Macaca fascicularis: one gene and its partners. The protein of the gene in region 6 interacts with the protein of the main gene of each other region in a biochemical or structural test. Links are inferred from orthologs where the notes say so. Each region holds a gene or a part of one and is shown on either strand. Other genes may lie near its edges. The genes, in order: CFTR, PRKN, FCHSD2, ATP2B4, SDC2, CASK and F11R.

Region 1 (3,974 bases), on a different chromosome or scaffold from region 6:
TGGGGAAGTGGATGGAGTGAGTTCAGTCACATGTCTGGGAAAAGTCAATAGTGAAGACAGTCTCAATTTTTGTCATACTGGAGAGTGAAAACACAGGTAGAGGATTTCAAACAACAGGGTGGATGGTGAGTTAAAAGTGCTAAAGTTCTTTCCTGGTGTCTAACTTAATGCAATGTGGTTTATCTCTTTGCCCTTTTCTCTACTATTCAAATTTAGGATAATAAAGATTAAATGTTTCTAAATCTTACTTTACAATATTCAAGAAAAAAGGTATGCTTTTGTCCACTGAAGTGCAAAGCAGAGCTATGAAAACCTGCTGAACACATTCTTTATTTTCAACACATGTTCTTGTCTTTCCATCATGAAATGCATGTTTTATTTGTACTGTAGTTGGGTGACCACAAGTTAACAATAAGATCATTCACAAGACCCTTGCCTTAGATGTGTTGACAATGAAGTAATCAGGCCAAAATTTTTACTTTCCTTTGAATTTTTCAATTCAAACACAATGTGTGCTTGCTTTTACACAATAGGGTTCAGGGATTAGAGGGTTGGCTCTTTAAATACCGTCAGAGACACAGGCAATCCTACACCAAGTGCTCAGAAGGAAGGCGCCTACGCCTGGGAATGTCCAGTTGCCCTTGGAGAGTTGAAGATGGCGTTTCTCTGAGTCAGGTCAAAGTTAACACATTACCTTCGCTTCAAAGACTGCTTGGATTCCTTTCGGTGGATTAGTCAAGATGTTTTGCTGACTGAGACTAGGAAATCTATAGGAGGGCGGGTTAGTTTACATTGTTGCTTGTCATTGTCGCTAAAACACTCCAAAGCCCTCCTTAAAAATGCACACTGGACTAAAAACGACAGACAAGGAACAAATCCTGGGCTGGTAATTAGGCGAAGCACTATCTCCTCTTACCTCCTTGTAGATTTTTTTTCCCCCTTTAAGTACGTGTCCTCAGATTTCTTTGTCATCCTTGGAGTTCACTCACCTAAGCCTGAAACTAATAAAGCTTGCTGCTTTTCTCCAACACGCAGAGGAAGCGCTAAGGTGAATGCATCAGACCCACACTGCCGCGGAACTTTTCGGCTCTCTAAGGCTGTATTTTGATACACGAAAGGCACATTTTCCTTCCCTTTTCAAAATGCACCTTGCAAACGTAACAGGAACCCAGCTAGGATCATCGGAAAAAGGAGGAAGAGGAGGAAGGCAGGCTCGGGGGAAGCTGGTGGCAGCGAGTGCTGGGTCTGGCGGACCCTGCCGCGAAGGACGGTCCAGGAGGCTCTCCGGGGAGCCAGTTCTGCCGGTGGCTTCTTCTGTCCTCCAGCGTTGCCAACCGCACCTAAAGAGCGGCCGCGACTGTCGCCCACCTGCGGGATGGGCCTGGTGCTGGGCGGTAAGGACACGGACCTGGAAGGAGCGCGCGCGAGGGAGGGAGGCTGGGAGTCAGAATCAGAAAAGGGAGGTGCGGGGCGGCGAGGGAGCGAAGGAGGAGAGGAGGAAGGAGCGGCCGGGGTGCTGCCGGGGGTGCGTAGTGGGTGGAGAAAGCCGCTAGAGCAAATTTGGGGCCGGACCAGGCAGCACTCGGCTTTTAACCTGGGCAGTGAAGGCGGGGGAAGGAGCAAAAGGAAGGGGTGGTGTGTGGAGTAGGGGTGGGTGGGGGGAGTTGGAAGCAAATGACATCACAGCAGGTCAGAGAAAAAGGGTTGAGCGGCAGGCACCCAGAGTAATAGGTCCTTTGGCATTAGGAGCTTGAGCCCAGTCGGCCCTAGCGGGGACCCCAGCGCCCGAGAGACCATGCAGAGGTCGCCTCTGGAAAAGGCCAACGTTGTCTCCAAACTTTTTTTCAGGTGAGAGGGTGGCCAACCGAGCTTTGGAAAGACACGTGCCCACGAAAGATTAGGGCGTGTGTATGGGCTGGATTTGGGGAAAAGAAATAAGCAGTTTTTAAAAAGATGCGCTATCATTCATTGTTTTGAAAGAAAATGTGGGTATTGTGGAATAAAACAGAAAGCGTTAAGAAGAGATTGAAGAATGAATTGAAGCTGATTGAATAGACAGCCACATCTACTTGCAACTGAAAAGTTAGAATCTCAAGACCCAAGTATGCTACTATGCAGTTATTTTATTTGATTTTTCTAAGAAACTAAAAAAACTTGTTAATAATAAATACTTAAGTGTGGTTTATTGGTTTTCCCCCTTCATGCCTTGGACACTTGATTATCTTCTTGGCACATACAGGTGCCATGCCTGCATATAGTAGGTGCTCAGAAAACATTTCTTGACTGAATTCTGCCAAAAAAATTTTTGGGGTAGGTAGAAAATATGTGCTTAAAATATTTATTGTTATGAGACTGGATAAATCTAGTATTTGTCACAAGTACATTGTTCTTTAAAAATTGAAAGCAAATTTGTTGAAATATTTATTTTGAAAAAAGTTAACTTTACAAGCTATAAATTTTAAAAGCCATAGAAATAGATACTGAAGTTATATCCAACTGACATTTAATAAATTGTATTCCTAGCCTAATGTGATGAGCCATAGAAGCTTGCAAACTTTGAGCCATAGAAGCTTGCAAACTTTATCTAATGAGATTTTGAAAAACAGCGTCTAAGTTCGGAATCTTAGGCAAAGTGTTATTAGATGTAGCACTTCATATTTGAAGTGTTCTTTGGATATTGCATCTACTTTGTTCCTGTTATACCTGTGTGAATGAATGAGTAGGTACTTCTCTCTCGTGGGATATTACTTGACTCATAATTACCCAATGAATAAGCATACTGAGGTATCAAAAAAGTGAAATATGTTATAAATAGCTCATATAAGTGTGTAGGGGGGAAGAGATTTAGCTTTCACATTTCTGTTATGTTTAGTTCTCTGCATGTGCAGCTAATCCTGGAACTCCGGTGCTAAGGAGAGACTGTGGCCCTTGAAGGAGAGCTCCTCCCGGTGGATGAGAGAGAAGGACTTTACTCTTTGGAATTACCTTTTTGTATTGATGTTATAGCACCTTTTGTTACTTCTTCCATAAAATCGGCTTATCTATTGATCTGTTTTCCTACTTCTTATAAAATCAGAATGTTAATTGGCATAAATTATAGACCTTTTTAGCAGAGAACTTTGAGGAAGCTAAATGCCAATCAGTCTAAAAATGCAGTTTTCAGAAGAATTAATATTCCATGGATAGTTCTAAATACTAATGAACTTTAAAATAGCTTACTATTGATCTGTCAAAGTGGGTTTTTATATAATTTTCTTTTTACAAATCACCTGACACATTTAATATAGGTTAAAAAATGCTATCAGGCTGGTTTGCAAAGAAAATGTATTACAAAGGCTACTAAGTGTGTTAAGAGCATACTCATTTCTGTTCTCCAAAATACTTCATAAGTTGCTCCAAGAATAGGTATGTTTTTAAAAGTTAAGTTCCTACTATTTATAGGAACTGACAATCACCTAAAATACCAATGATTACAAACTTCCTTCTGGCCTTCTGGACTGCAATTCTTGTAAAAAACATATTTTTTGCATTAAGTTAGGCAGTATTGCTTAGTTTTCAAAAGTGGTAGATTTTGGAGTCAGATTATTTCGATTCAGATCCTACATCTACTGTTTAGTAGCTGTGTTGCCTGAGGCAGGTCCCTTAACATCTCTGTGTGTGACTTGACCTTTAAAATTTGGAGACTGTCATAGGGGTTAATCCCTTGAGAAAATGAATGTGAAGGGTTAGCCCAATGTTAACTGCTATTATTATGGATTACCATATTTTTACATTCATTACAGTACATGTACCTTGTTAATATAAGATGTTCAATTCATCTTTGAGTATAATTTTGTGACTCTTAATCTGGATATGCAATGAGTGGGCCTGGATGAGAATTTAATTTATGAAAAATTGTGTTTCACATGGCCTTACCAGATATACAGGAAACACATCATATGTTTCTATCATAGGTTGTTAAATGCCTTAGAATT
Region 2 (3,500 bases), on a different chromosome or scaffold from region 6:
TGGAGCACTGAGTATCCTTTAGTAGGGCTTGTTTTTCTCTAGAGGTGTCAATGTCAGAATGATCTTCTACATACTCTGGTTGAAACATCAGAATTGTGAGGAGCTTGGGTTTGATATTTATATTAATTTATCATATCCTGGATCACAAGGGCATTGCAGGGGTTTAGATTTATTTCATTTTTCCCCATTTTTGACATTTGTTTCCATTTCTCAGTTTTTCTTTCCAGACCTGAGGTGCCCAGCTCACATGAAGCAGAGCCTCTTTCCCTCCCACAGTCATCTCAAGATCACCAGAGCATCAGCTAATGCCTTACTTTCTGGGTTTATCTACTCCTGTATTTAAAGATGTTGCTTCTACATTTTCACTTGTCCTTGAAAATTATCTTTTTTTTTATTTTTTGCAAGCTCATTGAAAATTTTTAATTCCTTAAATTTTATTTAGTAATTTTAGTGGGAGGCATTTCTTATTACGTCAGGCTTCCATCTTGCAGGTCCCAGAACTTTCTGACACTGTGAAGGCCATACCAGCCCACAACTGCCAGGATCTATTGTATGTGGGAGGAAAATCAACTTCTACCCTGTAAAGTCATTGTGATTATTTTGTGTATTCTGTCAGACACAGTAAAAATTAATTCTATTACACCTTTGACTATTTAGAGAATAAAAGACTAAGAGACACATATTAATATTTTAAAAATAACTAAACAATAACCATCTTTTCCAAAGAAAAGCATTTTGAAATGGGTGGTAGAACAGAGAAGGAAGAATCCTTTCACACTAAGGATGTCATTGCCATTGGAATATGTGGCTTGAGAAACTACAAATGGCTCGATTAGCTTTCAAAATCTTTCTACTTTTTAGAATTTTTCTACATCACTAGAAACATATCTCTTCTATTTAATCTCAATGTGAAAACCTGTTTCATAGTACTTATAATAAGTGCATTCTCAAATTTTACATCAAAGTACTCCACCTACAGTGATGTCTCCTTGGAGTGAATTACAGACTCAAATCCAAAACGTATCGACACTAAATATGCACCTGGTGAGGCCATGCTCCATGGAGACTGCACTAAACAAACAAACAGAATGCTCTAATACTCTTAGGGCATTCCAATTACCTGGACTGCCAGCTGGTGGTGAGTCATTCCTGCTGTCAGTGTGCAGAATGACAGCCAGTCCCACAGAGTCTCCTGGGAGGACTGAGCTGCTGAGGTCCACCCGAGTCAAGCTCTGGGGCTCCCGCTCACAGCCTCCCGCCGTGTTTCTGGCGTTGTCGCCTCCAGTTGCATTCATTTCTTGACCTTTTCTCCGTGGTCTCTGAACAATGTGAACGATGCTCTGCTGATCCAGGTCACAGTTCTGTTTGGGAGCAAGGTGGAAAAAAAACAAGGAAATGGCAAACATGAAATGCCAGATAGAGTTTAACTTGTCCTCAGTGTTAGAAGGGAAGGGAAAGTGACATGTAATTGACCAGCTTAGGCACATGTTTGGCCACAGCACTTACACACTACACATGGTAGACAAACAACACTGAACTGGGGCCAGAAACAGAAATTTGGGGATACGTGAAACACAACAGAACGCTGAAGTCATATTCAAAAGGACATGAAATCTACCAGGAAAAAAAAAATTACCAAAGTGGATCTATAAGCACAGTGAAAACAATAATTCTTTTTTTATTTTTTCCCCGAGATGGAGTCTCACTCTGTCATCCAGGCTGGAGTGCAGTGGTGCCATCTCAGCTCATTGCAACCTCCACCTCCCGGGTTCAAGCAATTCTTCTGCCTCAGCCTCCCGAGTAGCTGGGATTACAGGCGGGTGCCACCACGCCTGGCTACTAAAAATATTCTTAAATAATAAAACTGATTGACATCAGAATTGATATGTCATTCTTTTCTTTTTTATAAAAGTACAGAAAGTTATTATCAATTAGAGGGCATTTCCGTACAGCATTGGAAATGAATGTGTTTGAGTAGACTCCACACACACCCCTCCACGGGCACCAGAACACACATCGTTACACCAGTGGGGAAGCAAGGCAGGAGCACACTCCTGCCACCCACGGTTCATTCTCTCTCGGTCGATTTAACTATGAAAATCAGCAAACATTTACAAAAAGGTTTTGCATCTATATATTGACACGTAGGAACAGAAGAAGACTTTAACATTTTCTAGCATAAAAATTAAAAGTCAGATTATTTGCCAGGACAAGAACTAGGCTACCCTAAATGGAATTCTAGTTTCAGAATATCTACTACATAGGGCCGCCCGCGGTGGCTCAGGCCTCTAATCCCGCACTTTGAGAGGCCGAGGTGAGTGGATCGCCTGAGGTCAGGAGTTCGAGAAGAGCTTGACCAACGTGGTGAAATCCCGTCTCTACTGCAAATACATTAGCCGGGCGTGGTGCTGTGTGCCTGTAGTCCCAGCTACTTAGGAGGCTGAGGCAGGAGAATCACTTGAATGCCCACCCCCATCCCCCCACCAAAAAAAAAAAAAAAAAAAGAATATCTACTACATAGAAGCAGTTACTGATCTGCTTGCTACCCTCTTAAGACACAGCAAGGACCTTACTCTCTCAGCAAATCGATGTGGCCGGGCACAGTGGCTGACGCCTGTAATCCCTGCACTTCAGGAGGCTGAGGTGGGCGGATCACTTGAGGCCAGAAGTTTGTGACCAGCCAGGGAAACATGGTGAAACCTCGTCTCTACCAAAAATACAAAAAAATTAGCCAGCTCTGGTGGCATGGGCCTGTAATCCCAGCTACTTAGGAGGCTGAAGCAACATAATTGCTTGAGCCTGGGAGGCGGAGGTTGCAGCGAGCCGAGATCATGCCACTGCACTCCAGCCTGGGCAACAGAGCAAGACTCCATCTCAAAAAATATAAAGCAAAATAAAATAAAAATTAAAATGAATCAATGCCTTTCAAATACCTCTTGCCATTCTCATTTTAGGAATGCTCCCAGGACACTCAAATGAAATGCATCCATAACTAACAGCAGTAAATGATGCCCTCCCCTGCTGCTTTCTCAAGCTCTTCTGTTGCCTTCACCATCAATGTCCCTCGAACAGTGATGCCCAGCACTCACCAACAATCTGACCACAAATACAACGGCTGGAGTCTGGCTCCTCCATCCAGTACGGCACCAGGACACCCTTTGTCCTTAAATCCCATTCAGACCTCTTCTCTACTCTCACACCCTGGGGCTCCATCTCATCCCCAGGCCCTGTGCCCCTCCCGATCCCCATTCTCAGAGCTCCCAGCCTCTCCCCAGGACTGTTCCTACTCAGCAGGGGCCACTGTTCATCATTCTCTGACTTGAAGTCCTCCCCTGCATGATTTCCCTGGTTCTGTCAGGAAAAACCATCCCCCACATCACCCACTTCGAGCCTTCCCCTTCCACCTGAAAGTCTCATTATCCTCCCATGTTTTGTAATGGGCTGCAAGAGAATCACTATCTTGAATTTCACCTACCTAATCTTTGATATCGGCAAGGCAC
Region 3 (3,500 bases), on a different chromosome or scaffold from region 6:
TTCTACTGTGCAGGACAAATGTGACCATATAAAGAAGAGCATATTATAGGACAGGGGGAAAGTTGTGCTTTTTATCCTAGTGAAGGCTTACTCCAGGGCAATACAGTTTAGGTCAAATGTGACCAAATAAAGAGTGCCTTGTTTCAGTCTTTACCACTGGCATCTCCGTTGAGGCTGCCTGAAACGAGTTCTGCTTCCGTGGAATTGCTGGACGTGTGTGACCGACTGTCCAAAGTGGCCAGGGACTGCAGCATGCTCAGGAGGCTGTTTGAGGTGGGAAACTGTAGGTACTTTTCTGGCACATAACCCACTTGGCCAACTTTATTTCGAGCCTGGGTAAAAGACATGTGACAAAACAAGTTTACACACACACAATTTAGACAGGGTACAACAAAGACCAAAACGAACTCCTAAAAATGTCACAAGAAGGGGCGATATGAGCAAAGGAATATACCTTTACCCAGTCTTCCATATCTCCATCTTCAATCACTTCTAACACCTCATGTTCCTCAATGGTCAACTCATCTGGTTGAGAAGCCTGCAATGTAGGATGGTCATGGACAAAATTAAAAAGGTTAGATAAGGAGCAGATGTGGGCTGATCATGACAAAAACTGGGGATCAAAATATTGAAATGATATTGAGAAACATGTTGAACATAAAAATTTAAATGCTGTAAAACTTTCATAATGAGGTGAAGTTTTACTTTAAAAAACTAAACAGAATAAAACCGTAACAAAAACCGAAGAAACTGAATCCTCAAGAGGCAATGAGGTTCAATGAACAGAACATGTGAGCCTGGGCAACACAGCAAGATCCCCATCTCTACCAATAAATAAATAAATAAATAAATAAATAAATAAATAAATAAATAAAATTAGTCAGACATGGTGGAATGTGCCTGTAGTCACAGCTACTCGGGAGGCTGAGGTGGGAGGATCGCTTGAGCCTGGGAGGTTGAGGCTGCAGTGAGCCATGAGCATGCCACTGCACTCCAGCCTGGGCAACAGAGCGAGACCCTGTCTCTAAAAAAACGAACAAACAAAAAAAGAGAGCACTTCCTGGAAGTAGAGGACCTGGGTTCCAACTCCAGCTTCTGTATCAAGTTATTCAACTTGATGCCTCCATTTCTTTGAAATGACAATCCTGCCATTTTCTGGAGGATGTGAGTCAATGTGGGATGAATAAGCACAGAAGTGTGATGATTTGGGAAGCAAAAGCAAAGGAGAAGGCACTGAGTTGGAACTGCTACCAGAGGGCTCCCATGGACAAGCATGCAGTGAAAATGCAAAGAACTATGTACATGAATTTGATGACAGTGGGTGCAGTGCCTAGGATTGATCTGGAAACACTGTAAAGCAGTGGCTAAAAGAAGAAAATTGTAGGAAAGGAAATGATTGAGATCAGTCATGGTTTGGATTTCTTATGTTCCAACTTAACGGTGTGGAGACTGAGCTGATCCACTTGCGTGCTACTGCACAAGCTGCTAACCATAATGGTTTTCTTTTTTATCCCTGACAATAGCAGTCCACCAGCATCAGCCATCCACATGTTGCCCTTGAGACTGCCAAATCTGTAAATGCTCTGAGGCTCCACAGAGGGGCTGGAAAGTCCATGTGGCTTTGCTTCCTAACAGCCTTGCCTGTCACGTGTAATAGGCAGGGGCCTGCTGTCTTCTGGCTCTCTAGAAAACAGTCTTAAAAGCTTTTCTCAAGTCCCAAGATGGGTTAGAACCATCACTTAAAACCATAAAGTTTTTAAAATCTCAAAATCTCAAAGTGTAAAATTAACTCCAAGTTACACAAAAATAAGGCAAAAAAGGGGGTCATTTTCAAGATCAATTTCCCATTTTATGAACATTAAAACATTTCATCAAAATCCAGATTCTGGATGTTGCCATAGCTCCCTGAGACAGAAAAATTATATTGAGGATGGCTGACCAGTCACAGAATACTCGAAGGCCAGATTTTAAATTAACTCTTATCTCAAAACATAAGGAAAAAACCCCACTCATTTACCCTTGATAGCTTTTCCAATGGAATTCCTTCACTACTCTGAAACTACACTATGCCTTGGATATGCCAGCAAAAGGCACTTTTGTAATAAAAATGTTTTCCATGGCAAGACCTAGAAAGTATCAACACAACCAGACGTTAATGTATGTGATAGCAAACCAGGGAGGTAGTACACTTTCAAATAAACTGCTGCCCTTATAAAAACCTATGGAGAGGCTGAGTGAGGTGGCTCACGCCTGTAATCCCAGCACTTTGGGAGGCCAAGGTGGGTGGATCACTTGAGGCCAGGAGTTTGAGACCGGCCTGGGCAACATGGAAAAACGCTGTCTCTATGAAAAATACAAAAAACTAGGTGGGTGTTGTGGCACGCACCTGTAATCCCAGCTATTTGGGAGGCTGAGGTGGGAGGATCACTTGAATCAGGGAGGCAGAGGTTGCAGTGAGCCAAGATCACACCACTGCACTCTAGCCTGGGCAACAGAGCAAGACCCTGTCTCAAAAAAAAAAAAAAAAAAAAAAAAAAAAAAAAGCCATGGAGGTCCGTGCAAGTTTTTCAACACTGCAGCACTAGTTGTCCAATGTAAGCAGACACTAGCTTGATCATCCCATCCTAAAGCAGTGATGACCAATTCTTCCACCTAACAAGGTGGAAGTTCTTTGTGTGGCAATCACGACCCTGCAGTTTGGTCCCTGTGGGCCAAAGTGGGCCTCTAGACACTTTGGCCCCTGCACACTATTCCTATTCTCTGAGCATATCATGTTCTTCCTTGCCTCTGTGCTTTTATCAAGTGTTCTTCCATCCAGCAGGCTCTGTTCCCTCTTTCCTATCTGATGAGCAGACTCAGATTACTGTGGGTTTAAGTCCGGCTTCAGTATGTTTTTATGGGCAAGTGACTGTAAGATACCTTTGAACTTCAGTTTTCTTTTTTTCTATTAGAATATAAGCTCCATGAGGGCAGAGATTTTTGTCTATTTTGATCAATGCTATATCCCAGAGCCTAGAAAAGCCCACAGCACTGATACACGGAAAGTGCTCAAGCACTGTTTCTTGAATGAATGGGGTGCTTGATAATATCTTCCTCATAGGGTTACTGAAGGGATTACAAATAAATAGATAGATAGATAGTAGTTATGATTACTTTGGATTTGAGACTGAGCGCATATGTTTTCCCAGACTACTCATGATGAGTAAGCTGCTCCTCCTTTTGTTCTTTTTTTTTTTTTTTTTTTGAGACAGAGTCTCACAGTTTGCCCAGGCTGGAGTGCAGTGGTGCCATCTCGGCTCACTGCAACCTCCTCCTGGGTTCAAGCAATTCTCCTGCCTCAGCCTCCCAAGTAGCTGGGAATACAGGTGAATGCTACCATGCCTGGCTAATTTTTTGTATTTTTAGTAGAGATGGGGTTTCACCATGTTGGTCAGGCTGGTCTCGAACTCCTGACCTTGCGATCCGCCCACCCTGGCCTCCCAAAGTGCTGGGATTACAGG
Region 4 (4,144 bases), on a different chromosome or scaffold from region 6:
TGGGTCTAATTCACAACTCTGTTTCTCCATGTGCGTGTGGCTCTGCTTCTTGGGGGCAGGGATGACAGCAAAGAAGGACAGGGGTGGTGTGAGGTGTTGGGTTAGAATGATAGGATCAAAGAGGCCTTTTCCCAACCCTCTGTTTAAAAGGTTGGGAAGTAGTGGCCAGTCACCTTCTTCACAGCATAGCTCATAGCTATAACCTGTGAGATATATGTCAACACGCCTTCCACAAGCATATAAACATGAGTGTGTTTGCTGAGGTAGGTGTGGGAATCTGTCAGTCAATGAAGATATGTTGTTGTGTGAACTAGCTGATGGTGCATGTTTGTGCTTGAAAGCCATAAAGTTCTATGCAAAATCTATGGGTGGCACTGTTGCACAATGCTAGTGGGTGTGTGGGTATGGGGGTGTGATTAACAGTTTACAGGCTGTGTATAAGTGTGCAGGGATGTCTGAGTGTGTCCAAATTAAAACAGAAATGTGTGCCAGAGTATGATACAAGTACAGGAAAGTACTTGGGCTTTGGAGTCCGTCTGACTTGGCCTTGAATTGTTGGCTCTGTCATGAACCAGATGTATAACCTTGGGCCAGACACTCAATCTTCAATTTCCTCAGCTAGGAAATGAGGCTAATAACAAGTACCTTTCAAAATTGCCATAAGGACTAGAAATGATATCGTATAGACAAAGCTTTTGGTGTCATAGCCTACGCATAGCAGGACTCAAAAGTAGGCAGCTATTTTCATGCACTGTCAGTATACCTCTGGTGGGTACAGGGGCAAGAGGGAACAAAATGTGACCTGTATATAAGGTGTCGGGGAGGAGGTGTGTGTGTGTGTGTGTGTGTGTGTGTGTGTGTGTGTGTGTGTTTACAAAACAATTTATTCTCCTTCTCCAAGGAACCCCCTATTCAGACAGGAGCAGGAAGGTGGGAGGGGACATACAAGTGTCCACAGACACCTTGGGTTTCTGGGTCCTGGATCTAAGTGAGTAAGGGGTTGAGAGGCCCATGGGAGCTGCAGGAAGCCAACCGCCTGCCGAAGCTTCCTTTTTTTTCCCCTCCGCCCAGCAACCGTTGAATACCGCCACCCACATCCACTCCCCACCTCCACCCTCACCCCTCCTCCACCCCACTCAGCTTTCTATTCAACAAGTGAGAGCAAGGGTGGAGAAGAAAGCCGACAGGGGAGAGGATTCCTTCCCTTTCTTTCCCCATTCCCCCTTAAGACGAACCAGGAAGCAACCGCAGGAATCGGGCCACCTTAACAGTAGAGTAATGGTTTGGCCTCATGCCAAGTCCCACCTCTGTTCCAGCTCCTGCTCCTCCCCTCTCTCTTCCCGCACTGCTTGGGGAGAGCTGGTGAGCAGGAGTCTGGCCCGAGTTAGCTAGAGCTGTTGCCATGACAAGCATTTTCTTAAGAAAGCTCTGCTGTTGAGATTGTCCAACGCTGGGGGCTGGGAGGGGGGCACGAACTTCCTGGGCAACCATCCCTCTGAAGAGAGCAAGATCAGAGACACCCGTCCAGCTCTCCTGCACCCTTTTTCTTTCAGGAACCTGAGAGGTCCTTCCCATTGGAAGGGCAGGGGGAGGAGACCCAGCCCACTCCCCGGCCTTAGCCGGAAAGGCAAGAGAGCAAAGCCAGCGTCTCCAGCTTGGTTGCCACACTGGGGAGACTGGTGGGTGGTCACTCCACCCTACCCCCATCCATGGAAACCCGGAGGGAGAGTCCCACTTGGAGAAACCTGGATCTTTGCTAGAAAGAGAGGTAGGCTTGCAGAGAATGAATTGACTTGTGATTTGCAAACTTTGTTTCTTTCTTTTCTCTCAGTGGCTTCTAAAACTCCCCGATTTTCCTCTTTCTAGCATATTTCATGCGACTGGGTTTGGAGGATTTTTAAAAATATGTGTGTGTGCACAGATTTGTCAAATACTGTTTTCTGAGAAACTGTATAGTCAAATAAGTGATTTATCTCTCTTTTTTTAGTTCTTGTCATTCCTGTGCTATGGGGTAGGGGAATGGAGGGACTCTCTTTTTGACACCAAAATTGAACTCTTGGAAAAAACATTTATCTCCCCTCCCTCAACCCATTCCATTCCTGCCCTCCCCTTCCCCCTTGGCTTGGGAATGAGACGCAGGATGGAAAACTGTTGCAAAAATATTTTCCGTGTCTGTTCCCTTTCTCAAAAGCCCAAAAGAGAGATGGGAAAAAAAAAAAAAAAGGAACTAAAGAAATCTTCGGCAGGAAAGGGGGGCTGCAGCGGGAACTAGGAGAGGGGCACTTTGGGGCCATGGGGTAGAGGTGGGCTGGGAGAAGTTGGGAGGAGTGGGGGAAGGAGAGTGCACAAATTAAATTTCTTTAGCTTTGCAGAGAAACCTAAGCAGTTTCTCTGTGTTGCTTGCAAAACATCCTCAGACTTTCACATCTATAATTAGCTGTGGAAAAAGCTGGGAGTTCCCTCGTACCGCTGTTGTTTGAGAGTGTGTGAGCGTCCAGAACCAACTGTATGAGTGTCTCCGAGGGCACCGCCCCACACATCTCTGGTCCCAAAGGGGAGGAAGGAGAAGGGTGAATTGAAAAGTTTCCGATTTCAAGGCTGGAGACTGTGGGGCTGGTGAGTGTTTGGCAGACGGGGTGGGCCACAGGCATCTGTGGAAGGGTCCCTGAGCATCTTGGGTCATTTCCTTGGTTTGCTGAAGAGCTAGGAATTAAGAATGGGATTGTCCTTCCTGCTCTCCTTTCTCTCTTTCTCTTACGTACTTGGTTCGCTCTTGGTAGAGGGGGCTGCTGGCATCCTTCCCCGAGTCACGTCTGGCCTCATACACTCCTCCACCTCCCTGAGGGTACCCGCCGCTCTTCTCCAACTGGGTGTGGAGGGTGCAGGAGTGGCCAGCCACATCTTGGGAGGGGAGTGGGCACTCTGCTGGCCAGAGGCACCTCCCTCCTGGGCATTCCTGCCGGACTTACAATAACTTGCAGACATGATGCCGGCGCCTGCTGGCCGGGCAGGGGGAATGTCAGATGAAGCAATAGGCCGGCATTCAACTGAGGCCCCTGTGGGGAGGGGAAAGGAGTTGGGGAGGGAAGGGAAACAAAATCCCATTCTGTAGTGCTCCCTCCTCTGGGTGAGGAGTCTGGCAGGGAGTCTAGAGACCCTCGCCCTGCTCCTTAAGCCCCTCCCCAAGCTGCCCTTTCTCCAGGGCTTCTCATTGGAGGCCCTCCTGTGCCCCCTTCACTCTGGGCCCTCTACCTGGAGGAAGGAGACCAAGCTTATTCCAGGCTGGGCCAGGCCCAGGAAAGGAGCCTGGGGGTGAGGAGGGGCTGGGCCAGGAGCGTTTAGGAAGAAGGGGACGGAAAGAGGCCTCCTAGCCCATGAGCTGAGTTACCCTCCTTGGCTGAGGGTGGTGGCTTGGGGAGCAGACTCCGGGAGGGGCAGGAAGGATGGTGGCAGCTTGGTAAGCCGTGTTCTGGAAGGTGGGCCCTAAACCCTGAAGCAGACAGATCTGTGGGAATCAGGCTGGGGGAGAGGAAACACCTGCCTTCAGCCCCAGGGCTTGGAGGAGTGGTAAAGGCTACAGCTGAGAAACTGGGGGAGAAGGAAGCAAAACACTTAGAGGAGAGCTCATCTCGGGGCTGAGGAAGCAACAGGAACCGATTTTCATTTTGAGGTGTTAATTGATCTGACTGCACCCCATTGGCTAGACTCTTCCCTACCTGTATTCTGGTCGGTAAGGGAATGAGGCCTTCCCCAGTGGGCAGGGGCCCCAAGACAGAGAATCAATGCCGGTGTTCTGGAGGGAGGGGATCCATTTCTTTGCTCCTCCTCGGGAGTCCCATCCTCCCTGCCACCATCTTGCTGAGGTGCAACCCCGAAAATCACGCCGCTTCCGCCGCGGCCTCCCGTCGTGGGGGCCCAGAGTGTCACTATTCCTGCAGCCGGCCTTCCTATTTTCAGTAATCTGATTAGGGGTAGATGTTGACGGGCTCAGGGACTGTTTCTCCGTGAGGTCGTTATTTAGCGCGCACCGGGTTGCCTGCTCCCGCGGCTTTGAGCCTGGGGTCGCTGCCAAAGCGGGGAATCGGCTCCCGCAGTCTCAGCCCTTCCCCCGGGGCTCGGGGCGGGATCGACTGCGCAACCCCGC
Region 5 (3,500 bases), on a different chromosome or scaffold from region 6:
GTGCACAATATGCACTGAAAAGGTCACGGTCCTCTCTATTACTATGAGAGAAGAAAATTATGATAGGCCTTCCCAGGCCTTCGGGTACCAAAGTAAAGCAGAAGAGAGCAGCACATTGGCAGTATTTTTCCTGATTTTTTTCTATTCTTCTCATGAAAAGCCCATCATTAATTGGCTGCCTGGTGGAAGGACGGACAACAGATCAGAGAATGGATTATCTGGGTTCTAGTCTAGAAACCTTTTCACTGCTCATTAGTACTGCTTTACTATCACAGGTTAGAAAAGGGAAGAGAAATATCAAATAGGTGAATACTCAGGTTTGTGACTAAGGAGAGAGGTAAACAAGTTCTGGTGAGAAATGAAATGGACATAAGCAGTCACTGTAATATGAGAGACTGAGTTTAATTTATCCATATCCACATCATCTTTGTTCCATTGTTATTACAAATCATATGGTTTCACCATGGGATTTTTGGGTCCCTAAAGTCATTTAAGAGAGTTGATCTTTTCAGTTTCCTCTGACTCAGCTTCTGATCCGGCAGGCTGAACAAAGCGTGCAATCCAGGGATCTGAGAGTATGGGGACTGAAGGACTCCACATAACTGGAGCCGCCCTGCAGCTGGAAGTGCACAAGCCTCAAGCAGCTCTGGGTGGAAAATTCATTTTTCAAGTCGAAATGTTTTATCGTATAGAGGCAGAGGCTTGACTAAGAAGAAACCATTTTGTAATATGGAACTAATCTGAAATACCTTAACTCTTGTATGAATATATGTGCAAAATCAATCTGCAAAAAGGCAGCAGGGATGATTAAATGAGGCCAAGTAAAGATCTGCCACATCCATGTCTGGTTGTTTGGATGCCATGGAAATGGAACAGAAGTAAAAGCTTATGAGTGATGCTCTGCTCAAACAAATAATGAGATGGCTTTTTTTGCATTTTAGTCACTTAAATTTATAACAAACTAGAGAGGATATCTGTAACAGTGACATTAATGCCACTGTGAGACCGATTCAAAAGCAAAATCTACACTAATGGTATCCTAGAGGCAATGTTCAATTCGGCTGTACCACATAAAGACCAAAATGAAAAATTTAATCATCATTATTCATGTTATTCATGATCAATATTATCATTATCAGTGCTGTGAACAGTGTTCGACACATAATGATAGCACTCAATAAATCTTCCATAAATGGATGAATTTTTATTATTACTACATAGAACACAAATGATAGTAAGAATATAAAAGTATTAAAATAGTTTGGGCTCCTTAATTTTTAAGTTCACCTGCCAAAGTTCTATATTTTTTATCTCGATCTGATGCAATTACTTTCTTAAAACCAATTTTTAAAAACTTAAATTAGTGGTCAATTCATTCTTGTTAACAAACCAGAACTCTATGTCAAATTAAGTCTTGCTTAGGATACAACTCTCTATCACTACAAGCCAAAACTCACCCAGGAGAGTGTCTTCCCTCAAGCTAGTGAGTCCTAATTGTCTCTGACTTCAACAGATTTAGTCAAGAGAAGTGGTCAAATAAAAATGTGGTAAGAGCCAAATGCATATTTAGTAGATAGCAGATAACTGTGCCACACACACTCTGAGGCATTCAGTCATCCTAACACCAACTGCACCTACACTTTTCATTTCTCCCTTTCTTTTTTTGTTTCATTCACTCAACTATACATTGATACAGTAGCTTCTATGCAGGGATCCAGCATATGCCAGGTGAGTCGCTCTCAGTTCTCATAGGGCTCTCTCCCTGCCTTCCTACCGCCTGGCCTGTGAAGTCTACCACTAACAGTAATTGACTCTTCTTGGTCCTACAGAGAGTACTTCAATTTGGACAGGGCTGGCTTCCTGGCTGTTCCACATTTGTGGAGACCTGTCCAGCTGTGTCATTCACCATTCCAGTCACATGCACTGGGAGGATGGAGGAAGAGGAGGAAGAACAAAGGTACTCTGGGGCAAGGGTAAGAAAAGCCCACATGCATTCCTGCCTGAAGAGGGGATGATTCTTACTCTAAGGAAGGCCTGTCGCCACCTTCATCAAACAGCCTTCCATATCCATATCCTGTCTGCTGCTAAAGCTTGGCAGCATCTCATTTCTAATCAACAGATGGGTGAGCTCCAAAAGGGGATGCTTGTGCTTCTGAGTTTTCATAAGCCGTCTGTTACCCCTGCACTGACTGCGAAGTCTACCACTACAGTTATTACACATGCTCATTTGGTGAACTGGCTTGGTCTCTTCTGCTCCACCAAATTCAGTTAATGCTTACAGAATGGTGACTATGTCTCAGGTGCCATGCTACCTGCACTCGCATTTCATCTTCTTCACAGCCCACAGGAAATGGGTTCAGAAGCTAAGAAACATGACTGGACCCAGGATTTGAAACGTAGGTCTTTGCCAGACTTTAATATGCATGTTCTAACTTCAGTGGGTTACCTATTAGTGGATGGTCAGCTAACTACAATATTAACAAGGTCAAAATCACAAGCTCCAAGTTTTCATTAGCTGGTCACTTTACTCAGGTCTAACGCCAAAGTTCTTATTCTGAATAAGTCAGCTCTCAAAATGAATATATACAGATGTACCCAGGTTCATCAACATCGAGAGAGGTCAAGGATTACATACTACTGATGACAGGCCTAAGAAGACTGAGAAATGACTTAGTGAGACTAGGACCATCTCAAGATGTGACCTGGAGTCTTCTAATTACGTACCTACAAACCAGGAAACCAAAGAAACAGGGCTTTACTTCTTAACTGGGCTTCAGATGTTCCTTAAGAAGGAGGGCCATGTGAAAAATAGTTGTATATAATTTGAGCCAGGATGACAGAAATCATACGTGGGTAAATGCCAAAGTGATCAAAAAGCGTAAGGAAGAGCCATTTATAACACCACCATTAAGACCATTTGTCCTTATACAATTTTAAGTGGGGCCTTTTAAAAGAACTGTTGTGTACATAGTTCATGATGGGCAGCTCCAAAAAAGAAGAAAATAATAAAAAAGGGACTGTGTGTACAGTCAGTAAAGTGGAGCATTTATAATAACCTGTTAATGCAATGCAATGGAAAATGGAACACACCTTCGTCTGAGCAGGTATCTTGTTCTGTATATTCAGCGTCGTGGTTTCCACGTTTGGAGCAGCACTAGTGAACGGTATCTTTGGAAGTGGTCGAGATGTTGTCAGCTCTGGACTCTCTACATCCTCATCAGCTCCTGGAAAAGTAAGTGAAGATGAACTGAGTATGGCGAATATGACACAGATGTCTCCATTATCAGGCACTATTGCCTGAGGTTGACACTGACAGAATCACGTTCTTTCAAAATGCTGGCTCCTTAAGACTTCAGCACAAAGCTTCCTGTGGTCTTCACCACGATGAAGAAGTGATTTCAAAGGTGTCTGTGGGTAGCCTAGCAAGTTTTTCCTTAATATGATTATCCTCAACACTCAAGCAGCAGTTCTTTCACTTGCATGTTCCTTCTCTCCCTGCT
Region 6 (4,231 bases):
ATTCTGACCATTTCTTTTTGATATCCAAAGAGATCACATCATCGCCCTTCCAGACCTTAAGGAATCAGAACTGGTTACCAAAACTGATTCAGTGATGGCTATTTTCCATCTTCACAATATAATTAACATTTTAATCTCACATTTTCCAATTATGACTTTGTTAGTTCATTTACATCAGCTATAACTAAGATGCAACAAACGTAATTCACCCACACATACGGTCATTTGGAGGCTCTTGGGAAACACCTAATTTATCTTCACTGGGTGCTGCTAAGAATGAGGAAACCAAGGAGATTTTTGATACATTTTTCTCTCTAGAACTGTGCTATTCACATGTGGCTACTAGGCACCTGAAACGTGGCTGGTCCGACTGGGAAACTGAATTTTGAATTTTATTTAATTTTAATTAATTAAAATTTAAATTTAGAAAAACGTACTTGATTCAGTTATTGGAAAACTTTTATGTATATTGGGTATGTATATTGGGTAACTTGGGTATGTGAATCTACTTTTGTAAATGCACATTTTATGAAACCTAAATACAGATTAAGTATTTCTGATTTTTATCAGAAATGTAGCTTAGTGTCAGAATTGAGATGTGCTGTTAGTGTAAAATACACATTGGGATTTCAAAGACTTAGCATAAAAGATGTAAAATACTTCACTAATATTTTTTCATACTGATTACATGTTTAAGTGTTAAGTTTGGATCTACAGGGTTAAATAAAATATTTTAGTAAAATTAATTGCACCTGTATATTTTTATTAAATGTGGCTACTAGAAAATTTTAAATTACAAATGTGGCTCATAATATATCTTTTGGACAGTGCTGTTCTAGAACACTTCACAACCACTTTAACAGGACACATTTGGATACTTTCCTTTTAACAGTCTGGCTGGTCATGTAACAATAGGGCAAGGAGTAACATGTCCTCATATCAATTGGGTCTGAGTAAAGTGTGTAGCAAGCTCTACCCACAATTTCACCATGTGAGGCAACACTGTAATACCTCAATATGGAAAGAAAAGGAAACAAATTAGCACTCAAATTGAAATCGTGTACTGCAGACAACTTAAAAGAGATAGGGCCAACTGCTCTAAGGTCTTGGTTTCATTTCCCAACTGTGGACCTTAAAATAGACAATAAAGCACCGCTTCCAAAAAAAAAAAAAAAAAAAAAAAAAAAAAGAGGTAAGATATTTCAATGGTAGCTCTAGCGATCCTTATTAAGCAAAAATTTGCTCTTAAATCTTATCTCCTCAACTTCTAAAGCCACAGAATACACGCCGTGTTAGGAAATCAACTTCAGATTGCCAGCATTTCCTTCACAAGCAAATTAGCAGGATTGTGCACTTGGAATACTGTTTGACAAGAATGAAAAGGAAACTATTCAAAATAGATTTAAGGAATGGACAATTAGATGAGGAACTGCAGATTTAATTCTCAATCAGCACTGTGATTAATCTGATTCCCTGCTTTTCCCCAGCGTAATTATACAACACAGATGAAAGGATGAGCATTTGGACTGTCAGTTCTATATTCTAGACCAGCCCGGTGACTCAAAGCAGACGGCTCTACCACGCTAACCACCATCCCAACAACAGTCGAGGGGAGCCTCGAGCACTGATTGAACAGTCATTGCATAACGAAGCATTAAAAATTCGAATGCCCCCAACTCTTTCCACGTTCATGTACACCAGGAGGGAATGTGCTGAAACTGAACGCACCCGGTCTTAAATGATCCCCTCCAATCCGGGCATGGGGTGTACACAAAGGCATCTGTCTAATATCCCGCACAATAGACACACACCCCACAATTAAAACCCTGGACTCACTCTCTCTCTCTTACCACACAAGCAAAGGAAATGCAAGCTGCTCTTTTCAAAAATGGTCTATGGCACATGCAAGGTAACAAAAACCCCAACTGAAGCAACTATAAAATCGGCTGTGCCACGTCCCTGTGCAACCGTCAGATAAAATGCAGGCAGCCGGCCCCACGCCTTACGGGGTGGCCAGCCTCGGCTCGGTGGCCTCAATGGACCGCTGAGAACCCCCAGGCCCCCGCCTGGCAGGAGCTCCAGGTACACGTCTATAAATACTCCAAGATGAGAAGGACGAGAGGGGAAGAGGGGAAGAGGGGAAGGAGAGAGGGCAGGGGGCAGGCCCGGAGCGGGTGCGGGAAGACCGGGGCATCACTGAAATGCATTTTTCCACACTCCCGCTCCCTCGCGTGGAGACTCACTTTCCGATCACCTCGCACAGCTCGTACACATCCTCGAACAGCACGTCGTCGTCGGCCATGGTCCGGAGGGGATAGCGGCCGCAGCGTGGAGGGCTTCGAAAACGGGGGTGGGGGCGCCCAAGAGCTCAGTGCCCAGCCCCGGGATCGCCTCCTCCCCTCAGGACCCGCGAGCCCTCGGTGCCGAGGACGCTCGAGTGGTGCCGCGAGGCCCAGAGACTGCGGCGCCTTCCTCTGCAGGCGACCGCCCCGGCGCGGGCGGCGGGGCCGGGGCGTGGGAGCGAGGGCGGCCCGGGCCCGGCGCCGCCCGCCCGCCCGCTGCTCCTCGCGCTGCTCGGGCCGCGCTGCCCGGCGTGCGGATCCTCGGGGACCGCGCGGCGTCGCGCTCTCCGCTAGTCAGCCCGCGCGGGCCGCGAGGCCGCGACCGCTCCCTCTGTCCGAGGCCGGCTCCGTCGCGTCGCGGAGCAGCTCGGGCTATAGAGGGGGCCGCGGCAGGACCATGGAGGGAGGATCGCCGCGGAGGGAGGTGGCGGCGGCGGATCGGCGCTGGGGACCAGGAGGCGGTGGCAGAGACGCTCCCTCCTACTTCTCCTCCTCCCGCAGCCGCCACCGCCCGCCCGGGAGTGGGAGGGGGCTTCGCGGGACTGGCGCTCTGTGCGGGCGGGAGCCGCGGCCGCCGCCTTCTGCTCCGCCCCTCCGCCTCAGCAGCCGACCGGCTAGCCAGCCCCGCGCACCCGCCTCGCGCAGACACGCCCTCCTCCCCCGTCGGCGGCGCGGCTTCCAGAACCACAGACTCCGCCCACTCTAGCCCGTCGGGAGGCGGTGGCCCAGGGTAAGGGGAGCGGGCTGAGCGGCGCATGCGCGCGGCGCGGGCCGCGTCACGGCAAACGGGCGGGCACCGGGATTCTAGAGGGCGCGGGGGGTTGAGCGGGGCGCGCCGGCTGCAGCTGCCGAGGCGGGGCTGGTTGGGGTCGTCGCCTCCGCGCCTAGCGGCGACCAAGCCGCGAAAGGGGCTGGAGACAAAAGGTCCACGGCTGTACGCTCGTTGTCCCGCAAGAGGCTCGAAACTCTGGCCGCTCCCCTTTCCTTCTTTTGTAATCGCAGGGAGCCTTTCCCAGCTTTTTGCTGGGAAAAGAGGCAGGGATAGGGTGCTAATGAATGAGAAAGCTAAAAGAGAGGTGGAGAGAGGTTGTCACTGAATCCGTGCTTGGCAGCGGATGCTTTTAGTGCTACCCTGTCATTCCTTAATGAAGATGAGGGCTGGGGGCAAGGGGAGGTCGTCCGAGAAAAGGACTAAACAAAAACTGCCTAGGAAGGTGTGCGACAGCAAACGGTCATCTATAGAGACAGCTTCTCCCACGTTCTGCCCCAAACTCAACAAATACCTATCCAGCGCCTACCCTCACTAGAGACCAACCTAGAGAGAAGCCAGGAAGACAGGGACAAACCGCGACTTTAAGCTCCTTTGTATATTGCCCTCAAACTCCCAGCACCTACTCTGCTCTGTATACTCCCTATACATGTTAGACTTGTCAGGAACAAAATGCAACTAGAGGCAGTGCAGGCACAGGAGCAGCCAGGGAGTGAGGTTCTGGGTGTTGCCGCTGTGCTAGGTTGCATTCAATATGAAGATTTCTGTTCAACTGAGCATGTGCGGAATGAGCCAACGCCATCAGACAGGTATATGCCTCAGTTGAAGACCAATAGAGTCTTTGTTCCTCCGCATAGCAAAAGTGCCCAATTAGTTCATAAGTCAGTTTCCAGAAATCGTATGGTAAATTTCTCAGTGTGGTAATTTTTTTAAAAAAGTATTTATTAATACCAAAGTGGAGGGGGTGATGTGGAGACTCACAGCCTATTTTCTCTTCAGAAACGTTTCGTGCAAACCCTTGACCACTCCCTCAAAAGGCTGAGAGATTTGCCTGCTAAGGATTTGGGTACTAAACCTTTAAAAAAAAAAAAAAAAAAAAAAAAAAAAAAAAAAAAAAGCA
Region 7 (4,115 bases), on a different chromosome or scaffold from region 6:
TCATTGTGTATAGAGTGCCTACTATGAGATAAAAGATGTAGGAGGGGCCAGGTGCAGTGGCTCACTCCTGTAATCTCAGTACTTTGGGAGGCAGAGGCAGGCGGATCACCTAAGTTCAAGACCAGCCTGACCAACATGGTGAAACCTCGTCTCTACTAAAAATACAAAATTAGCTAGGTATGGTGGCGCATGCCTGTAATCCCAGGATGGATTACAAGAGCGAAACTCCATCTCAAAAATGAATGAATGAATGAATGAGGGCTGGGTATAGTGGAGAAGGCAGACGGGAAGAAAAGGACGTGAGAGAAAGGCAAGGAATACAGGAAATGCGTGAAAGAAGTTCTTCAGAGGCATGAAAACTCAGAAACCTGGATTCATTTCTGACTCAATCTTCTCTTCCACAGATTAAGGAATACATTTTCCAAAAATCAAACTTAAGAGGTAAAAACTCTGCCACAAAAATATTTAAAATGTATTGTGCATCAAACTATACACTATATTAGAGGGAAGTCATATACCTACTGTGTAGTGTTGAATTTTGTTTCAGTAAGCATGCATAATTTCATCTTTTTAACCAATTAAATTTTGGTTTTTTTGAGACCGAGTCTGTCTCTGTCACCCAGGCTGGAGTGCAGTGGCATGATCTCGGCTCACTGCAACCTCCACCTCCTGGGTTCAGCCAATTCTCCTGCCTCAGCCTCCCAAGTAGCTGAGACTACAGGTGTGCACTACCACACCCGGACACTTTTTTTATTTTTGGTAGAGATGGGGTTTCACCATGTTGGGCAGGCTGGTCTTGAACTCCTGACCTCAGGTGATCTGCCACCTCGACCTCCTAAAGTGCTGGGATTACAGGCCTTAGCCACTGCGCCTGGTCAACCAATTAAATTTGTTAAATCCAGTATAAGAGATCAGTGTTGATAAAAACCGAAACCTGGTTTTGGTGGCACAGGAAAGGCTCCTCACGCCTGTAATCTGTGCATGACACATCGGTAGGGATGAAGGGTGCTATCCATTCCCTCACCCAAAGGCCTGGGATTGCCCTTTCACCTCCTTAATCCATGGACAAAGCAGCCATAGACAATAACCAAAGTTCACAGCAGCCAGCCAGTTGGGGCCATACTTTGCTGACCTCTAAAGCAGTGGTACCTGCTTCTAGCTGCATATAAGAATCACCCCAGGGGCCCATAAAGCCACTAATGCTCCGGCTCCACCCTCCATATTCTGAATTAAAAAATAAAACAAACAAAAAAAACTTGCTGATTCTGATGTGCATTCTGGGTTGAAAACAGCTATTCTAGAAGTACTGTACATTGTAGCCTCTCAGGAAACTGCTAGAATTTTGCATGTGGGGAGTGCTAGGGGAAGCAGATGAATGCTGAGAAATGATGATCCAGGACTGAATTGAGGTCTAGATAAAGATTAGAACTGTTTTCAGTCCACCTGACACATTAAGTGCTTCCAATACTTTGATTAAATGTTCTTTATTTGATGCTTTTGTGTGCACAACACTATAAGGAGTTGCCCAACTCACCAAGTCAGCCCCTTCACACCCTTAGTTAAGATGGCCATTAAGGGGCCAGGGGGTGGCAATCAGTAAGCCGCCTCCTGCCTAACCCTCTTTCTCCAACCATTCTCTATAGGCCCCAGCATAGTTGCGAGCCCTGTGGAGATAAAGAAGGGTGAGAGACGGACAGGAATGACAGGTAGTCCCCATCACCTCCCAGCTAGCAGCCATACCTCCCCGTACCCAGTGTATCCAAGACTCCGGGCCAGTTGCATGGCCTGGAGGCCCCGCTTGCCCATCTGACAGAAGAAAACGAGATGCTCATCTTCCAGCTTTGGCTTCTCAGCAGAGTACAAAGCCTGGAAGGCAGCTGGCTCCATCTGCAGAGCACTCTCCAACTCGGACACTGGAGGAGTGGAGAGGGTAGAAGGGAAAGCCGGCAGTTTGGCACTCAGGTTCGGAAGCTGGGCCTGGAAAGGCTGGGTCCTGGGGGCCCCCAAACAACATATGATAGCCATCCCCTACCCCCACCCCAATTTCAAGAACCAGAAACCAACGACTTTTGAATGCGAGCCACTCCCCAAGCTGTGAGGAGGCGGGGCGGGATGCTCCCTCAGGCGTCCAGACTTGGGGAGGTCAAGAGAAGCTGGTCTGCCCCTCTCCTCTCCACCTGCTGTCTTCTCAAACTGGATGGGCCAGTTCCGATGCCAGGATCCGCCTCCTATCAGTCCTTCCCAGGAAGCTGAAGGCTGGCTCCCGGGAATGCAGGACCCCCATAATCAGTGCCTTCCCCATTCCATCCTAAATGAGGTCCCACTGGCAAAGACCCTCCTGAACGGCTCTATTCCACCACCTGGGCGTCCCCTCTCCACCCTTTACCCGGGATGTTGAGCGCCCCTGGGATGGTCCCAGCTGCCGCCTCCTCCCGAGAGCGCACGTCGAAGAGTCGGGCCCGGCCGGAGGCTAGGAGTGAACGGAGTTCAGGGAGCGAGACCGTGGGCGCTGAGGAAGGGGCGCGACAGCCTTCAGGAGAAGGGGCCTAGGAGTCATGGCCGCCACGGTATCCCCTCACCTGGCAGCGCCCCTCCCTGGTAGGGTATGCACCAAGACCCCTCAACCACGCCCCTTCGCTCCCCCACCCCACCCCCTGCCACACCTCAACTCAAGGGGCCAAGAGGACCGCGGTCCCAGGCATCCCCCGCAGGTACCTCCAGCCATGGTGCGCGCAGCAACTGCGAGTCTCCGGAGTGCGGCCCCGGCCCCCCCCCTCGTAGCCTGCAGCATCTCCCACTCGCTCCCGGAGCTGAGACCGGATCCGGAAGCGAGGGCACCGCCTCCCGCACCGCCCCCGCAGCACCTGTTCACGGCGTCTCTAGCACCAGTCTACTGCAGAAGCCCTTAACATTCTCTAGCGTGGGCCAAAAACGACAGACCGGTCTGGCCCAGGAACCAGGTCTCCGGGTAATAAGTGCAGGAGCAGCACCCCACCCTGAACTTAGCACAGCCCTTACTGGTCAAAGAGCAATGCCCCTCCCTTCCAGCCTGTGGCCCCACAAAAGGAAGAAAAACAGACAACTGTGGCTTTGAACAATTTTATCCTAAAAAAAAAAAAAAAAAAAAAAAAAAGGAAAAGGAAAGAAAAAAAAAAAAAAAGACCCCCATAAGGGGGAAGGCCCCAAGTGGACCCCTGCCTGTTGTTCTCTCTGGCTTCAGAGACGTCTGCATAGGCCTCAGCTTCTCGCTGGCCAATCTCCTCTTCATGGGCACCAGCCACTGCTAAACACCCTTCCCCCACTTCTTGTGTAAGCTTGCTCCCCTGAGCCACAGGGTGCACCTCTAAACCTCAGCTCCAGGGAAAGGAAGAACCAATGGAAGTGCCAGAGTCCTGGGGCAAGCCAGAGCATCACCTGTCAGCAGACCTCTGCTGGGCACTCTAAGCAAGTACAGGACAAGCCCCCCAGTTTAGTGTGTCCAGTATCCAGCATGGAGGCAGCACATGCATTGTGCAAGAGGAGCACAAGGGCCCAGGGGTTGCATGGTGGGGGTGGGCAAGGCTGTCAGTGCACCTCCACATTGTGTGTTTCACACCACTGCAGGCTGCCATATCACAGGGCCTCAGTTCAAGGACACACCTTCTGAACTTCCCCCTGTCCCATGCCAGAAGTGGGCAGTGAAGGAAAGGGGCACAGGATTAGGCTGTTGCTCCTGGGCTATCTGCAGTTCTTGGGCCCAAAGCCCCTGAATCCCCATAGTTAGTTGCTGTCATTCTTGATGACGACCTCTAATCCGTGGTGCCGCAACTGAGCTCGAAGCAGCAGATTCTTGTTTTTAAGATCTTCCACCTGACAAGGGAAGGAGGCAGTAAAGGAATGGGTAGTAAAGTTGGCACTACCAAGCCCCTGAATGTATTCAGACATCCACTGGTAAGGGGAAAAGATGAAGCCCTCTCCATGGAGAACAAAGTAGAGGGTGTCAAACTGGGTCAGTGGCTAGCAGAGCTGAGAAGGGCTGCACTGGGGGTAGGAGTCTGACCTGTTGTCGAAGCACGTCATTGTCCAGCTGCAGTTGGTCAAGCCCCTGCAGTTCTTCAGACAAGCGGTGGTTACTC

Evidence for each region.
Region 1: the proteins of CASK (region 6) and CFTR interact in a test that uses a peptide from one of them, tested with the Homo sapiens proteins (2 studies listed by IntAct, with this or other methods). The link is inferred for Macaca fascicularis from reciprocal best matches to the Homo sapiens genes CASK and CFTR.
Region 2: the proteins of CASK (region 6) and PRKN form a complex in vitro, tested with the Homo sapiens proteins (2 studies listed by BioGRID and IntAct, with this or other methods). The link is inferred for Macaca fascicularis from reciprocal best matches to the Homo sapiens genes CASK and PRKN.
Region 3: the proteins of CASK (region 6) and FCHSD2 form a complex in vitro, tested with the Homo sapiens proteins (2 studies listed by BioGRID and IntAct, with this or other methods). The link is inferred for Macaca fascicularis from reciprocal best matches to the Homo sapiens genes CASK and FCHSD2.
Region 4: the proteins of CASK (region 6) and ATP2B4 form a complex in vitro, tested with the Homo sapiens proteins (2 studies listed by BioGRID and IntAct, with this or other methods). The link is inferred for Macaca fascicularis from reciprocal best matches to the Homo sapiens genes CASK and ATP2B4.
Region 5: the proteins of CASK (region 6) and SDC2 form a complex in vitro, tested with the Homo sapiens proteins (2 studies listed by BioGRID and IntAct, with this or other methods). The link is inferred for Macaca fascicularis from reciprocal best matches to the Homo sapiens genes CASK and SDC2.
Region 7: the proteins of CASK (region 6) and F11R form a complex in vitro, tested with the Homo sapiens proteins (2 studies listed by BioGRID and IntAct, with this or other methods). The link is inferred for Macaca fascicularis from reciprocal best matches to the Homo sapiens genes CASK and F11R.

What each region holds. Positions count from the first base shown.
Region 1 is NC_088377.1:158,928,661-158,932,634, forward strand, and holds the start of CFTR (cystic fibrosis transmembrane conductance regulator), read left to right. Parts: upstream 1-1,174; 5' UTR 1,175-1,394; intron 1,395-1,724; exon of another isoform or gene 1,725-1,746; 5' UTR 1,747-1,795; coding exon 1,796-1,848; intron 1,849-3,974. UniProt on the Homo sapiens protein: Epithelial ion channel that plays an important role in the regulation of epithelial ion and water transport and fluid homeostasis. Mediates the transport of chloride ions across the cell membrane.
Region 2 is NC_088378.1:8,862,521-8,866,020, reverse strand, and holds part of PRKN (E3 ubiquitin-protein ligase parkin), read right to left. Parts: intron 1,362-3,500; coding exon 1,121-1,361; intron 1-1,120. UniProt on the Homo sapiens protein: Functions within a multiprotein E3 ubiquitin ligase complex, catalyzing the covalent attachment of ubiquitin moieties onto substrate proteins. Substrates include SYT11 and VDAC1.
Region 3 is NC_088388.1:71,646,070-71,649,569, forward strand, and holds part of FCHSD2 (F-BAR and double SH3 domains protein 2), read right to left. Parts: intron 539-3,500; coding exon 455-538; intron 333-454; coding exon 155-332; intron 1-154. UniProt on the Homo sapiens protein: Adapter protein that plays a role in endocytosis via clathrin-coated pits. Contributes to the internalization of cell surface receptors, such as integrin ITGB1 and transferrin receptor.
Region 4 is NC_088375.1:61,454,026-61,458,169, forward strand, and holds the start of ATP2B4 (plasma membrane calcium-transporting ATPase 4), read left to right. Parts: upstream 1-1,344; 5' UTR 1,345-1,768; intron 1,769-2,471; exon of another isoform or gene 2,472-2,616; intron 2,617-4,144. UniProt on the Homo sapiens protein: Calcium/calmodulin-regulated and magnesium-dependent enzyme that catalyzes the hydrolysis of ATP coupled with the transport of calcium out of the cell. By regulating sperm cell calcium homeostasis, may play a role in sperm motility.
Region 5 is NC_088382.1:106,270,548-106,274,047, reverse strand, and holds part of SDC2 (syndecan-2), read right to left. Parts: intron 3,225-3,500; coding exon 3,091-3,224; intron 1-3,090. UniProt on the Homo sapiens protein: Cell surface proteoglycan which regulates dendritic arbor morphogenesis.
Region 6 is NC_088395.1:41,941,292-41,945,522, forward strand, and holds the start of CASK (peripheral plasma membrane protein CASK), read right to left. Parts: upstream 2,801-4,231; 5' UTR 2,303-2,800; coding exon 2,244-2,302; intron 1-2,243. UniProt on the Homo sapiens protein: Multidomain scaffolding Mg(2+)-independent protein kinase that catalyzes the phosphotransfer from ATP to proteins such as NRXN1, and plays a role in synaptic transmembrane protein anchoring and ion channel trafficking.
Region 7 is NC_088375.1:100,036,717-100,040,831, reverse strand, and holds the start of F11R (junctional adhesion molecule A), read right to left. Parts: upstream 2,801-4,115; 5' UTR 2,792-2,800; coding exon of another isoform or gene 2,716-2,791; intron 2,510-2,715; coding exon of another isoform or gene 2,387-2,509; intron 1,914-2,386; coding exon of another isoform or gene 1,751-1,913; intron 1,665-1,750; coding exon of another isoform or gene 1,613-1,664; exon of another isoform or gene 1,469-1,612; intron 1-1,468. Other genes in the region: TSTD1 (thiosulfate:glutathione sulfurtransferase), read right to left, coding at 1,613-1,664, 1,751-1,913, 2,387-2,509, 2,716-2,791; USF1 (upstream stimulatory factor 1), read right to left, coding at 3,760-3,849, 4,040-4,115. UniProt on the Homo sapiens protein: Seems to play a role in epithelial tight junction formation. Appears early in primordial forms of cell junctions and recruits PARD3.